Linked DNA regions of Drosophila melanogaster. The gene in region 2 interacts genetically with the main gene of each other region. Each region holds a gene or a part of one and is shown on either strand. Other genes may lie near its edges.

Region 1 (9,328 bases), on a different chromosome or scaffold from region 2:
AATAGAGCGCACACCTTGTAAAGTGAACCCTCGATATCACATAGGTATCATATGGGCACTTAATATTGAACGAATTTTGTGTATCAAAATATACACAATGTAATATTATAACTACGTTCACATATGATATCATCTATAGTGTTTGTATATCTTTTAAAATAAACCTTTAGTTATTCCTCATACTATACAGAAAATAATTATCACAATTTTTTTCGCGGCACAGAAACCAGACGCTATCGAATTTCATCTATAACCAGACCTCAAATTGGATTAGCCCGGGCAATTGACTGATATGGACTCTCAAACATATCGTCAATAGAAAGTTTCAAACGCTGGAGTTTGAACTCGCGCACAGATTAATAGGTGCGCCTATATGAATTATCAAAGCGTGGCCCGCTTATCGGGTGATGATTAGTTACAGTCCGATTGTTGAATCCCTGGGTAAACTTACGTTGCAGGCGGGAACGCACTGTATCCAGTGGATAGAAAGTGCTCATGGCGATGCAGCCGCCCTGTGAATAGGTGACCAAATGCAAATTAGCACCGATGCCATCTTGACCTTTAGCCGGCAAATATTTGCCCACTCACCGCAGCTCCGGATACGGCATGCACAAAGTTCTGGTAGCTAAGCACCTGGCTGAGTTTCGAGGGGGCCACCATTCTGCTGTTTGTTTGTCGGACTGTGAGATCTCTAAACTGGGGACTGGAACGTCCGGCGGCGTCTTCGGGCGAGTGTTTACTGATTGACGACGACCCGATCGATCCGCCGGTTGTTGAAAATTTAGCTGCGGCAGCGCTGTTCGCCGCGATGTGTAGATTAGATTAAATTTATCGGCGGCGGAGGAGGCGGTGGCTTTGTTGTGCCTCCTGGATCACGGCGACTTTGTAAATGATTCACTTACATATTCATAATTTCTGTATAGAATTCACATTCATTCACACAGTATGACCAATGTTTGTGGGTTCGAAATATACCATGTAGCTGGAGAAATATACCAAAATATATATACGCACATATGTATATATTTTACAAAATAGACCGTTAACTGGGTTTGTAAAATCTTAAATCTTTCTTAATTTTTTATTAATTATTCCTCATTTTACTGAAATACATACAAATTCCTAATCATAAACTTCCTACATACCAAATTTCACAACAATCGCACATAAAATGTAAGGAATATTCCAATTATAAGGCAGTATAACCAATTTATACTGTTCCTATCTAAAGAAATATAAAATTTAACTTATTTTTATTCACTCCTATAAACTATCTTAGCAGTCTAACTTTTGAAATGTACATTTAAGTCTTAGCTTAAAAGAAGAACGGATCAAAGGAGCTGATCTATTAGGCACTTGTCTCTCCGAGGCTCCAACTTTGGTTTCTTTATGAAGTTTACCCCCGTCTCAGTGCTGCTGTTCAGTATATCGGCAGCTTTTCTCTTTCGATTCTGGAATGTTATTAATTTGGTTTAGAAGGAATCGTAATCAAAAGAACATAGTTAGTTCCCACCTCATGTTCCTCTTCCGTTAGCGTGGCGAAAACGAAGTTTTTCGCCTTCGCTGACTTCACAGAAATAGTGCCCTCCGCGGCATCCACATCGCCGGAGGTTCCTTTTGTGAGTCCTGCCAGTTTGGAAAGCGTCTGCTGGTCCCGAATCAGAAAGGAGCCACGAACAGCGCTCTTCTGCTGCTTGCCAGCTATTGTCTTTGAGATCAGGAATGGAGAATTCTTCTTCACCTCCACAGTTGTCTTCTTAGAGGAAATTATGTTCAGTCGGCGAATGGCCGGCGAATTACCATTGTTACTGGTGTTTATCACGGACGTAGAAAGCGGTGAGGCCACCTCCTAAAAGATTAAAATGTTTTAGTGAATAGAACTAAGAAAATAAACGAGTTTTCGCACCGGTTTTAAACCCTTCTCTAAAAGAAGCTGCTCTCGTTCGTAGCGGATTTTTCGCCACAGATGCTCGTTTTCCTCATCGCCACTGCCGTCGTTTCCTTCACCATTGTCGGTTCGATTATCGTCGAGACTGAATCCGGCCTCCACGTTCTTCCAGCGGAATTGGCGCTGGCGATTCGCTCCCTCTTCCTCCTCTTCGAAGAGCAATTCCTTGATCTTGCGCACTTCCCGAATATCCTGATCCATCATTTTACGCCTGTCAAAAAGAAATGGTTAAAGTATTTTAAAGAAGTAGAATTTTTGATTTACTTACGCATGTATCTGGCCAAGCTCATGCCGCAGTTTATCACGATCGAACTGGTCTTCGTCGCCCAATTCAATGTCGTACTCGTCCATGTTTTTCTCATCCTCGTCGGCTGATCCCCATTCGGATTCAGACAGCTCAGCTTCTTTGTCCACAAAGTTGGCTGCTCGTATTTTACGATCCTTCTTGGTCATCTCCACAACAATCTCATTTTCCTCGGAATCGTAGTCTACAAAGGTTTCCGGAATTTCCTCTACTGGCTCTGCGTCACTTTCCTCGTCGAATTCCTCAACCTCATCATCGCTATCTTCATCATCCGAGAAGCCCAATTTGGCCTTTTTCTTTGGCCTTTTCTTGGTTAGTTTTTTGTTTCTTGGCTTATCGACTTCCAAGGCATCCTCCTGGGCTTCTTCATCGCTGGATACTATTCTGTTCGCTACTGCTGCCGGTACTTCGGATTCTTCCTGCTGTTCCGGCTGTTGAGTGGGTGCTTGCGATGGCAACTGGGTGGCGAAGGTACCAGAACACAGACCCTCCAGTTCATCTGCTGCCTGGCTGCTGCCGCCAAACTGTGTCATGGGAATCTGACTGATCACAGCTGTATCCACCGAAGGGGCGTCGGAGGAAAGCATCTGGGTCTGCGGAAACTGGCCAGAACACAGATCCAGGAGTTCATTCTCCTCGTCGCTGGCCGTGCGTCGGGTCTCCACATCGAAAAGCTTGTGGGCGGATAATTGCAACTGGGTAGCGGTTATGGGAGCAACATTGCTTGGCTTCGGAGTTTGCAGCAGGTCGAGATCATCTTCATCGGAGTTGTCGTCCTCGAATGCTTTAATGATGCGGTTCTTCTTTCTGGTTTGCGTTTCTGGCTCTGGGTTCGCTTCACATTCCTGCTCACTTTCACTGTCATTTTTCTCATCCTCACTGTCTTCAACTGGATTGTCTTCGGGATCTTCGTCTGCATCGTTTTTGTTTTCTTCAGCATCGCCATCATCCTCAGCAGTGCTATCAACTTTATCTATGATTTCCTCATCTTCATTTATAGTTACTTCTGCATAGCCAGGTTTATCTTCCGGTTCGTACTCCTCATCCACATCCATGCCTTCCTCCTCATCTTCTGCCATTTTCTCCTGTTCTTCAGCCTGCTTTTTGCGTAGGTCCTCCATGCGTTTTTTAGTAATCAGGGTTTTGAGATGCTCCTGCATTTTCATGTAACCCGCTCCTGGTTTTGGTTCTTTTGCGATTTCCTCTTCGTGCAGGTGTATGCTCACCTTGGACATCTCCAGCTTGCCATGTTCAGTGGTTAGGATGCTAAAAAAAATGTACCCAAGTTTTAGGGCTGAAAAAGATGGTAAAGTGGGCTACATACTTGACAGTCTCTGTGGTCTTGTGCTTTTTAGCTTCCCGCGTTTTCATCAGACGGTTTAGCAGGTCATCCACACCTGTTGGTTTTTTGGCGAACATATCACCCGTTTCCAGATCAATAACCATGTTGGGATCGCCTTTCAGCGAAGGGCTCTCATCTAAGCTCTTCTCAATCTTCAGCTGGCGAATAACTTCGCTAATCTTAGGAGTTGCTGGCTTAGAGGACGGTGTTATGTTGATGGTGCTCAAGTCCAGCTTGGGCAATTCCACTACTTCTGTAACCAGACAGACTTTGCTGGGGGATTTCGCATTAGTCTCTTGCTGAATTTCAAAATTATCTGCTAATTTCAGGGCAGCTGCAGTAGAGGTGGAGGCAATGGGTTCTTCTTCAGTAATAGAATCTGCAACCATTGCTTCATCACCGACGGTATCATCTGTTTTGTCTTCACCCAGGACAGGTACCTCAATAACTGCTTGGCTGGTCATGTCCTCTGTGTCGTTCTTGGGCTGTTCTGGAGTTTTTGGATTATCCAGCATCTCATCCATAACACCTGGATTGTCTTTTAATTCCATAGGTTCTTCGTTCTCCGAATCATCCTCCTCATCTGACTCAGACTCAGACTTAAAGAACTCGGTAGCTTCTTTGGCACGATCCTCCATAAGTTTTCTAAACAATAGATTAGGTTTAAATTATCTTTTAAAGCCTCATGTAACTTACGCATAAGCCTCCAATTCCTCCCTGGTCATCCGCAGTCCCACCGACTTCCTTGGCTGCCTGCTGGGCATTGGACTTCCTCCAGCCAGAGCCGTGGCCAGTGGAGCGTTGATGGTTCGTCGGCTAAGAAACTCCTTCAGTGTCCTTGGTTTCGGCTGATGATACGGCACGTTGATGTGTGCCTCGCGGTGCAAACGCTGCTGTTCACTTTGGATGGCCTGCATCCCCTCCAGTGCTTTCTTAGCTGATTCCTAATTATATGAAAGTATGTATTAAAATATATTATAGCCATCCTATTAATTAAAAAACTCACGCGAACAACTTTGGCCTTCTTAGGTTTCTCTCTGGAGAGAGCGCTTTCCATTGGGGCTTCCTGTTCTCCTGCAGATTCCTCGGGATTGTCTAGCTCTGGTTCCGATTCCGAGTCCACCAATCCTTTAAGTTTGTTCTTGACGGGACTAACTTCCTCAGCAGTTTCTTCCGGTTCAGATTCGGAGTCCACCAATCCTTTCAGTTTGTTTTTGGGTGAACTGGTTATTTTCTCGCTTTCGGTTTTCGGGATTTCATCTTCGCTTTCACTGTCCATTCGTTGTTTATTTTTCTTTGCCTTTTTGGGAGGTTCCTGCATTTCCTGGTCTTCCTTATCGCTGCCCATTTCCAGCTCATTTTCACTGCTCATTTTCTTAAGATCATGATCTTGATCCACCTTTTCATTCTGATTTTCCTCTGACTCGTCATCGCTCAGTACTTTCTGTTTGTTTTTCTTGGCCATCTTTTTCGGCTTCACTATCTGTTCCTTATCCTCCTTGGTGTCAATATTGTCCAACTTTATTTTCTTGAGTGGCTTCTTTTGCTCTTGGTGTTCCTGGTCTTCACCTGACTCTTCCTTACTGTCCTTATTAGTTTTCTTGGCTGATTTTTTTGTCTTCTGCTTTTGAGGCTCCTGATCTTCTTGATACATTTTAAGGTCTTCACCCGCGTCCTCTTCGTTGTCCATTAGGGAATCTATTTTAGATTTGTCGGACTTCTTTGCCTTTGATTTTGGTGAAGGTTTCTTCTTCTCCTGTTCAGTGCCATTGTCCTCCTTATCATCCTCTTGTTGCTTCTGCTTCTTGGCCAACTTTTTTGACTTTTGTGTCTTTGCAGGTTTCTCATGCTGTTGGTGGTGGTCGTACTCTTCGTTTGTTTGGGGTTTACCATCTTTATTCGTTTGTTTCTTATTTTTGACCACTTTTTTTGGTTTATCCTCCTTGGAAGGGTTATCCTGGTCGTCCTCCGCCTTGTTTGCTTGGGTCTTATTCTTTACCGCCTTCTTTGTCTTATTAGATTTGACAGGTTTCTCCTGATCCTCCTGGTTGACCTGGGATCTCTTCTTCTTGCTTTTGACGGGTTGCTTCCCCTCCTCCTTCTGCGTCTTTTTTTCCGCCTGCTGCTCATCATCATTATCCGAATCTATGATGGCGGATACCTTCTTTTTCGGCCTGGAAACCATCTCCTCCTCCACATCCTCGCTGTTTTTTATGGAATCACCGTTTCCCTGATCCATTGCATCTTCCTCCTGGTCACTGTCCATCATCCTTCGGCGCCTGTCCTTGGGTGATAGGGGCTTTTCCTGGGAGCCATCTTCCGCTTCGCTGTCATCCGACATTATCAAACTCTTGCCACCCAGTAAATCTTCGCCGGAGACCATCTGCTCGTCTTCCTCGTCGAAGACCAGCTTTTCCATCGAGTCGTCGGCCTGCTCTTCATTTTCCGCTGCAGCTGCAGTTTCTGCAAGCGATTCACTCATATTTCTGGGTCACTTGTTTTTTTGTTAATAATAATAAGAAACCAAAAACATTCGAAGTCGCAAACGCACACAATTACACGCAGTTCGATTTTTGGCGCAAAGAGTGTTGAAAGTGCGGGATCAATCAGCTGATGCAGGCAGTGTTGTAAGGCATACTTAATAAACAGGCCTGGCCACATTTGTGTAAAATGATGTAGAAGAAATGAGTCAAATTAATGTATAATAGACCGTTACTTACAGGAATATTAAAAACAAAATTTTACTCAATTTCATAAGGTATAAAAATAATAATAATAAAAATAAAACAAAATTAATGTTGCTCCTTTATTTTATTATTTTCTAAATATTAATTAAATAAACAAAATATATTGAAATTAGAATATAAATTTTCTTAAAATATTTCAAATTTTATTTTGTATTAGAGGAGAATACATACTCAAAGTTTATGGCCACATCAGTTTAAATAGTGAAAACTCTTAAATAGCCATAAATGAACTCAATATCTCGACGAGCTGAAACCTATAAAATGTACATGATTATTCAAACGCAAATCAAGCAGCGTGAACAAATCTCGGACAGCAACTTAATCAGCAGGCTGCAACCTTTCAGCAGTACAGCAATCGAAAGTAATCACCCAGCGGATTTGCATACACTCAGATGAAAAAAGCAGACAAATGGAAAATATCCAGGTGGGTATGCGAGTAGGTTCACCTGTTCCCGTGGTTGTTGTTGCTCTTGTATGTTGGCGAATTGTTGCAGTTGGTTTGATTTTGGTACGATGTCGATGTTGCTACTTGCTGCCATGCTTTCTCCGCATCTCTTTCTGTCTCAGAGGCATTTCTCTTTCACAGTTTCGTGGCTGAAAAGCCAAAAAGCTGAAAAGATCTTTCGACCGAGGGTCATTAAGTAACCCCAAGACGACGAGAGTGGCCTAATGATATACCCTTGCTCCGATATAAATAGCATTAAAATGCAATTAATAATGCTGAAAAACGCATCCAATGCGCAACCATTAACCTCGGTTCAGAGCCTAATATTCAATTAACTTGGCTTTCAATGAAAGCAAAAGCAAAAGGCCCCCGAAAAGCGAAACCAAACCGTTTTAATAGGTGTTAAATTCCCCCGGCTTTTCACTTAATAGGTCTATTCTGAGATCACTCTCGGTCAAAACATAAATGATTAATGCATTTTACAAATGTCTTTGATATTTAAGAGGGACAAATGTTTCACCTTGCCGAATTGCGCAACGTTTGAAAATCCCACACAACAAAGCCATATGTTATTCAACCTTAGAAAGATCGAAAGAAAGCAGCCATATTTCACGAATCCTATGCTTTCCGCTTTGCCAAATTCATAATATATTCGCATGTGGAATCACAGCTTGGGCTTAATCAGTCGTTAAATTAGCATGGCTTGGTAAATATTTGGATACTCTTTTGGAAGAGATTTCTCTCAAATTTTCATATTTATCAAACATATCGATAGTATTTCAATAAGCTTAGAGAATCGCATGAAAACCATGATATTACATAGATATTTGTTCTAATTTGATATTTTCTAAAAAAAATTGATCTTATCATCTTACCAACAGAACTACAAGCTTTAATCCCCAGATACAAGTATTTATCACCATTAAGTCGTCTTTTACAGTCATAAAAACCTTAGGTAATTTTTGCCCCTTATCCAGCAGCCTGATTAAATCATAATGCTCTTGCTTACGACTTTTGAGCTAGGCATTTATAATTTTAAGCTTCAGCTAGCGCACCAATTAGCATACTATATACGTATATTTAAAAAAAACGAATCTTGGTGCCGTCGCACACAATTTCTCTTTCATTTGGCAAAAACCAAAAAAAAACTAAAAACGGTTAACTGTATGTATCTTTCAGACATCTTTTTTCATATCTGTAGCAGAGATTTTGCTTTTGGCCACTTACGGTATTTCTGCGCCTTGTTGTCGCTACCTAATTTGCATACGCACAGTTCACAGATACCACCGAAAACCGAAAAATCACAACTTGGGCCCATAAGATGAAAGTGAAAACACTCGAGTGTGTGCTAAATGCAGAGTCTAATCGAAAGATACACATAATTTCCAACTGTCTACAATCAATATTGATCTTCGCCTCACAATCTCATGGAATTCGAAATGGGATTTCGATCGAAGCAAACAAACAGCCAATGAATACCCCATTTCTTTAGAAAACTACTTTTAGCCCATATTTTCTTTTTGGCAAGACTAAGTGGCTTATGCAATCGCGCGGTCTTAAGACCTTTCAGAGCCTTCAACTGCAGATTTAAGTTGAGTTTATGGGGCTTATGCAGCCACTCTGTCGTTCGCAATTAAAAGCAAATCGTCCACGGAGGATCGCATAAAAAATCGGGGCTGATCGGCTTGTAAATGCCACATGTTTGCGTATATATCTTTTAGCTGTTGTTCCTGGGACCCAGACACGCCTTTGGCTGTCTGCGTCTGGCTTTTCGTTGCCCGATTGAGATTTCTTGCCGTTTTGCTATGCCATGTCTTTTTTTTTTTGCGAGTGAAAGTGATATATGGCGCATGACTCAGGCTCCGTCCATGCTCGACTCCATCCGACATCCAGCCGACCCCATCCCGGCCTCAAGTCATATGCATAAAATAATAATTAAGCGCCATTTATGCGGCCCAAGTCGAAGAAATGGCCAAAAAGGGCGCAGCAGCCATCGAGCGTGGACCGAAACCAAACTTAAAATCAATTGACGTTTTGCGCACACTGAAAAAAATATGAGCTCATAAAAAAAAATTTTTTTTTCTTATTTTTGCATTTTTGGATGTACCACCCATCACCTTTTTTCCGAAAAATCTAAAAATTTTAAAGTTTCCAGTTTTGAATGCCAATTGATTGGGTAGTTCATTACGAGCACTTTGAGGTATAGTATTCCACTTTGCGTGAACTTTTTCAATTGTTCTGCTTAAAACATAGATAAAACGTTTAGATTAGATTAGTTATCTACAATTACAAAACAAAAGGTTATCAGCAATAGAGTAATGATTTAATGGTAGCAAATAACTTGGCCTCCCCCTAAACTTTCAACTGATGTACACCTGTTTACTGCCCTTCTGTCTTCGAGTTCAGCAAGTTGGCATCTTAGAGCCAGGTTCATTGTCTTTATAAATGTGATTTAGGGCTGGCGACAGCTCAGCGGAAAAGCCGCCAGCGTCGGAATGAACAGTAACAAAAAAAGGCCAGTAAATTGCAGCCCAGCGACTGA
Region 2 (5,939 bases):
TCAGTTTTGAGTTGCATGCACAACTTGAATAACTCAATTAGTGTGCGCATTGTTGTATGTTGTGGCAGTAGTTGGTGTTCGGCTTTTCTCGTAATTGTTGCTTTTGTTGATGTGCATTGACTTAGAGCGCAATTTTCACGCTTCTATGCCTGGGCCAAGCCCCAAAAACGAAAGCGAAACGAGAAGGTATTAAAGAAAACCCGGTGTAGTCGTTGAAGAAATTTAATTGGAGCAAACTCGAGCAAGCACTAGACATTAGACGTTGCAATTGCAGTTGCAGATGCAACAAAAGTGAAATTACAAAATTAATGCAAAAAACGAGTCTTCAAGAGTAATCGGGACGAAATCAGATGGTTCGAGCAAAAGGCATGCATTAATCCTATTCTATCAAGATCTAAAAAATGACATTCTATCCTAATTATACAAAATATAGAGTAGGCTTTCAGCGACCCTTAGCTCCGCGTTTCTGTTTTCATCCTGTGTGAGCTCAATGCAAATTTGTTTGGCTTTGCCCAACTGTGCGTGGCTTTTCCCAGTCGCTCGCTCGGCCGCTCCCTTTCGCCGCTAATGTGGCGCTAATTAGCTAGTTGTGAAAATGCGTAGGTGCCTTGGGAAATCCAGCCCTCTGCTGTCCGGTAAAGAATGAGCCACAATATTAGACTGCATTGCGGGTATTTGTCAACCCGTTAGCGGGATGACTAATGTCATTTGGGCTTGGGGAAAGGTGCCGATAATCACTGTCGCATGGAATATTTTCAACTTTTGCCAATAGGCGTATCAATCCAATCTTTTTTTTTAGATTTCATTTGAATTTGCCATGGTGAACGATGAAGACGCCGCGCACCAAAGACCTAGCAAGCCCACCGGATACAACTTCTACCGCTCCTCCTTGGGATCCCCGCGTTATGTAGTGGCTCCCATGGTGGATCAAAGCGAGCTGGCCTGGCGAATGCTGTGCCGACGCTATGGCGCCGAACTCTGCTACTCGCCAATGTACCATGCGAACCTCTTCGCCACAGACCCCAAGTATCGCAAGGATGCCTTGCAGACGTGTCCCGAGGACAGGCCATTGATCATCCAGTTCTGTGGCAACGATGCTCAACAAATCCTGGATGCAGCACTCCTGGCGCAGGACCACTGCGACGCGGTGGACATAAATTTGGGTTGTCCCCAGGCCATTGCCAAGAGAGGTCACTACGGATCCTTCCTGCAGGATGAGTGGGAGCTGCTGACAGAGATTGGTGAGTAGCACAGGCTACTTTGATTGTTTATGGAACTAGTGATTGCAACTGCTATATTATCCTAGTGAGCACACTGCACGCAAAACTAGCCGTTCCTGTAACTTGCAAGATTCGCATCTTCGAGGACCTTGAGAAGACCATTAGGTATGCCAAGATGCTGGAGGCGGCCGGCTGCCAGCTTCTGACTGTCCACGGTAGGACCAGAGAGCAGAAGGGTCCGCTGACCGGGGTGGCTAATTGGAACTACATTAAGAATGTGCGCCAGCACATCAAGATTCCAATGCTTGCCAACGGAAACATCCTGGCCCTGGACGACGTTCATCGTTGTCTGACTGAAACAGGAGTCGATGGTGTAATGAGCGCCGAGGGTAATCTGCACAATCCGGCCATCTTTAAAGGAGTCTCACCGCCCGTCTGGCAAATGGCCCATGAGTACTTGGAGCTCGTTCAGCTCCATCCGTGCCCGAGTTCCTTTATACGAGGACATCTCTTCAAGCTCTTCCATCACATGTAAGTCTCTACACTACCGAACCTAAACCGATTTTTCAAAATCAATTCTCTATTTCGTAGCATGAATATCCGGCAGAACTCTGAGTTACGGCAATACCTAGCCACTGCAAATCAGCTCGTGCAATTCCAAGCCGTCGTGCAACAAGTACGGGCAAAATACGAGCCGTTCCACAAGGGCGAGGTGCCATACGAGCCCGAACAAATGGCTGCTGGATCAGAGGAAGATGTAAGTTGCTCGAACGGATCTTTGTAATAGAGTGGATCTGAAATAACACGAATATTTTATATTCCCCAATAAAGCTGCCACTTTCTCCCTGGCTGTGTCAACCATATATACGCGCCTCACCCGAATCCCATCGCCAGAAGATTGCCGAAAAGGTGCGCGAGGCTGAGGATCCCAACCGAACCAAGCGGCAGTACTTCGACAAGGACGGCAAGGAGATCTCCCGCAAACGGATGAAGAAACTTCGAAGACGCCAGCGAAGACCCAACAAAACGGAGGCCCAGATCCAGCATCGGCACGAGAGGCGCCTGGAATACTGCTCGGAATGCGCCAATCCCCAGGGATCCAAGTGCGAGTTCCAGCTGTGCCGCGTGTGCTGCAAGGACAGGTGCTACAACAACGATCGCGATTGTCCTGGTCACGGGATCTTCATCAAATCCCGCCGAGCCAGGGCCAAGCTTTTTGAGGAGCACATCGCCCCGCAGGACCACCAGAAGGTGACGAGAACTTCAGACGATGACCTGACGATAGCCCCAACGGATGCGCAGGAGCCGCTTTGACCTTAAACCTGTACTTTAGGAAACACCCTTCTTGTTTTTGTTTCTATGACTGCGAATAAAAAAAAGCTTGTTTTAAAAACCGCATTGATTGTTTTCATTCAAACTTTTGATTCCATGGCGGGTTTCTTTCATAAGCAAACCCCAAACCGGTTGAATTGGCCAATTTATGCGAACCCATTCTATTTGTGCATTTATACTTTTAAAGTTTCCTATGTAAAAAAAAAAAACTGTTAGTGTGACCGTGTTATTTGTGCCCTAAAATGTGTTTCAATTATCTGGCGAAAGCTGGCCACTCTAAACACCGGTTGCACGCTGTGGGCAACGAAAATCAAAACAAAGCCTAAAATGGAGCAAACAAGGCCATTTTACGATTTCAGCATACCATACAACAAGGACGACTCCGTGTTGCGGGCCCTGCTTAACGAGCTGGTGGAAAGTGAGTGAGAACAAATGACCATACAGAAGATTCCCACGACATCCGACATACTCGTTGCAGCGGGCTACAAAACAGTGGCCATCGACCAGAGTTTCGACCACAGCAAAAAGGATCCGGGCAAACGTGGGTCCGAGATGTTTCCCGAGCCTCATAAGATCGAGCATCTGCGCAAGGAGTTCCAGGACAAGCTGAGAATCCTGCAGAGAATCACCATTCTCTACGTAGACGTCAATGTGGCCCACGCGATGGTAGGAACACTTGATGATGGATAATAGCAAGTTAATTTGTATTTGTTGCTGTAGAGTGTCTCCCATAATCTGCGGAAGTTCAATCTCATCGCTGGCCAACCGAAAACAGATGCCGCCCTGACGGTAAGTCACTATAAGTACCACCTTCAAATCATCATTTAACACGGACCATCTAAGCACTGCTGCACTGCCTTCAATGGGGACTTGATAACTTTTGATCCTGTGGCTGGGTCCCGACTCTTGGTAAACCGAAAAGCATACCAGGTGGCAGTCCGTCGGGGCATGTTCTTCGAAATTAAATACGCTCCATCTATCTGCGATTCGAATAACAGGAAGGACATGATAAAGATCGCCCAGAACTATTGCACCAAAGGGAAGTCCAAGAACGTTATCTTCAGCAGTGGTGCGGCGCACGAATTCCAGCTGAGAGGACCTTACGACGTTGCTAATTTGTAAGATATAGCTAACTAGATTACCTTTAAGATGAAGTCTAATTGGTACTAACATTTTAAAGGGCCTTTATCTTCGGCCTATCAGAGGACCAAGGGAAAAATGCTGTGGACGGGCACTGCCGGGAACTTTTCCTGAAGGCTGAGGCGCGTCGTCTGGGAAAAACCATCATGTTTCTCAAAGGAAACGGTCCCATAATATACTCGGATAGCTCTGAGGACGAGAAAAGCACCGAAGACGAAATGAAGGGTCTAAAACCGCAAATTGGAAAAGCGGATGCATTTGAAGTCAAAGACGGAACTGAGCACGCTATTAAACGACTTAAAGTGGCGTAGCCTTTAACTAAAATACATCAGCTTTTTTAATAAGTTGGCTAGTTTTGATTTTACGACGAAAGCCGGCTAACGTAACGTAATGGTTTTGGGTCTAGGCTGCACGTGGTTTGGGTCCAGGAAAAGGTCGACAGTTTTACTTCAGCAGCTACATGTCTAACTATACCCGATTGACTATGCTAATTATCGTTAAATTTTAAGTTGTTTGTTAAATAATATTTCCGTTTGTTGTCATTTGTACATTAGTGATGTCAGTAGCGATATTTAAAATAATATATCGATGGCATAAAAAGAAGAACCATCGATTGGCGGGTATCCGGGACTTCTGGCAACATTGATTTTCGTCCCAGCTCTAGCGTACAACAACAAAACAAAATGGAGGTCTTTGATGTGTGTGTCGCGTTGTCTTGAAATTTGCTGCTAGAATTTTGCGTTAAACGGTAATTTAAAGTGCAAAGTAATTAAGAAAAATTGCTTTAAAACGCTTGCCAGGGTGCCGGCATCTGGAAAAGCACCAAATCTGATCGGAGTTGAGCGTATTTTAAGCAAAATTAGCATTTGAAAAGTGGTCGAAACCGAGTCACTTGAAAAGAAAAAATGTGCAAAGAGGAGAGTGGAGAGTAAGACAGAGAAAGCAAAAAGAGCAAGAAGACAAGCGACGAGACGAAAAGAAAAACGGCAAAGCAAAAGAAATATATTTCGCGAGACTACGAAGAAAAGCTGAAAAGTAGCAGCCGTCGAATTTCAATTGTTTTTTCCCCCGCAGTTCCAAGTGCATTTCTCTATGCGCCTGTGTTCGTGTATGTGTGTGTGCGAATAATTAATGGCAAAATTGCCGAAGAACATCGAAAATCAAATCCGAAAATGTGAGCGGCGACCGTCTAATACAATTAAAAATGGTCATCATCGGGAAGTTTGTGTATGTGTGCGATGCTCGCTTGCGTTTTCGTCTTCATCATGTTTGAGTGTAATTATCACGTTGATTATTGCCTGCTCATTTGATTTCTTTCTCCAACTTCTATTCGCCATATTCTTTACTCCCGCTTTTTACTCAAAAAAAATTAAAACTGTTGGTGGTTATAGCTAGGACTTTTTTTCTCGTAACGCTTGTAGCATACATTTTGTGTATGTATTTGTGCCCCGTTTCGCTGCAGTGTTGCCAACATTATTCGGGTGATGCAGCGCCGCACATTTTGCACCTGTGCAGGAGACAATCTCTCCCCACCCTCACTCACGCCCCGTGGCGCATTTATCCATCTACCATAATGGCCATTGCTACAGTTGCTCTGCCAACGTCGCAGTCGACGTTCTCGTTGCTCTTTTCACAGTTTGTTATTATTGCGATGGGACAAACCGAAGTGCAAATCATATTCCCAAATTAATTGTCTTATTTTTCGATTAGGTTTATTTCAATGGCTCGATTTTAATTTAAGAAATAAACAGGAAAACTACTCGAAAATCTAGCAAAACATCCGCAGGTTTGAGAAGACGATTCTGTTGCAGATAAAATTTCTCCTCGTTTTTTCTACAAATTTAATCTGTGCTGCAAAACAACCAACAACTCGAGTGCAATCTTTTTCTTTTTATAACAAATTTGGTGTTCTTGGTCCAAGCTGCACTGTAGCTGTCATCAATATTTCTATATTGATAGTCTAAAGTAGCACTCACATAGATACAGTGCACATATGCAACGGTATCCCCATTTGCGGCTCTTCCTCTTTGATTGGTTTTTGCTCTGCTTCGGTCGCTGTGTCAACTCATCTGTCTGCCTCCATCTTCCTCGCTCCACTCGCTCTCTTCTCATTCGGTGCACACACTCACAGTTGGCAGTGCTTGGACACACGTTTTTCTAGCCGGGCCACTCTTTCTCTGATATGCTGGTCTGCTCTTACACACACACCGCCGCTACGACGCGCAATTGATGAGAGAGCGTAAAATT

Evidence for each region.
Region 1: of Rpp30 (region 2) and Claspin, changing one suppresses a phenotype caused by changing the other (phenotypic suppression), as found in Drosophila melanogaster (one study listed by BioGRID).

What each region holds. Positions count from the first base shown.
Region 1 is NT_037436.4:4,310,383-4,319,710, reverse strand, and holds Claspin (claspin), read right to left. Parts: upstream 6,229-9,328; 5' UTR 6,077-6,228; coding exon 4,601-6,076; intron 4,539-4,600; coding exon 4,291-4,538; intron 4,240-4,290; coding exon 3,577-4,239; intron 3,519-3,576; coding exon 2,217-3,518; intron 2,160-2,216; coding exon 1,907-2,159; intron 1,850-1,906; coding exon 1,514-1,849; intron 1,452-1,513; coding exon 1,332-1,451; 3' UTR 1,103-1,331; downstream 1-1,102. Other genes in the region: PMP34 (peroxisomal membrane protein 34), read right to left, coding at 452-512, 589-660. UniProt on the Drosophila melanogaster protein: Required for checkpoint signaling in response to DNA replication stress; either resulting from normal embryogenesis or induced by the DNA synthesis inhibitor hydroxyurea (HU).
Region 2 is NT_033779.5:249,258-255,196, reverse strand, and holds Rpp30 (RNaseP protein p30), read left to right. Parts: upstream 1-2,823; 5' UTR 2,824-2,879; coding exon 2,880-2,970; intron 2,971-3,030; coding exon 3,031-3,218; intron 3,219-3,272; coding exon 3,273-3,341; intron 3,342-3,395; coding exon 3,396-3,670; intron 3,671-3,732; coding exon 3,733-4,003; 3' UTR 4,004-4,158; downstream 4,159-5,939. Other genes in the region: Dus1 (dihydrouridine synthase 1), read left to right, coding at 818-1,241, 1,307-1,751, 1,812-1,977, 2,052-2,534.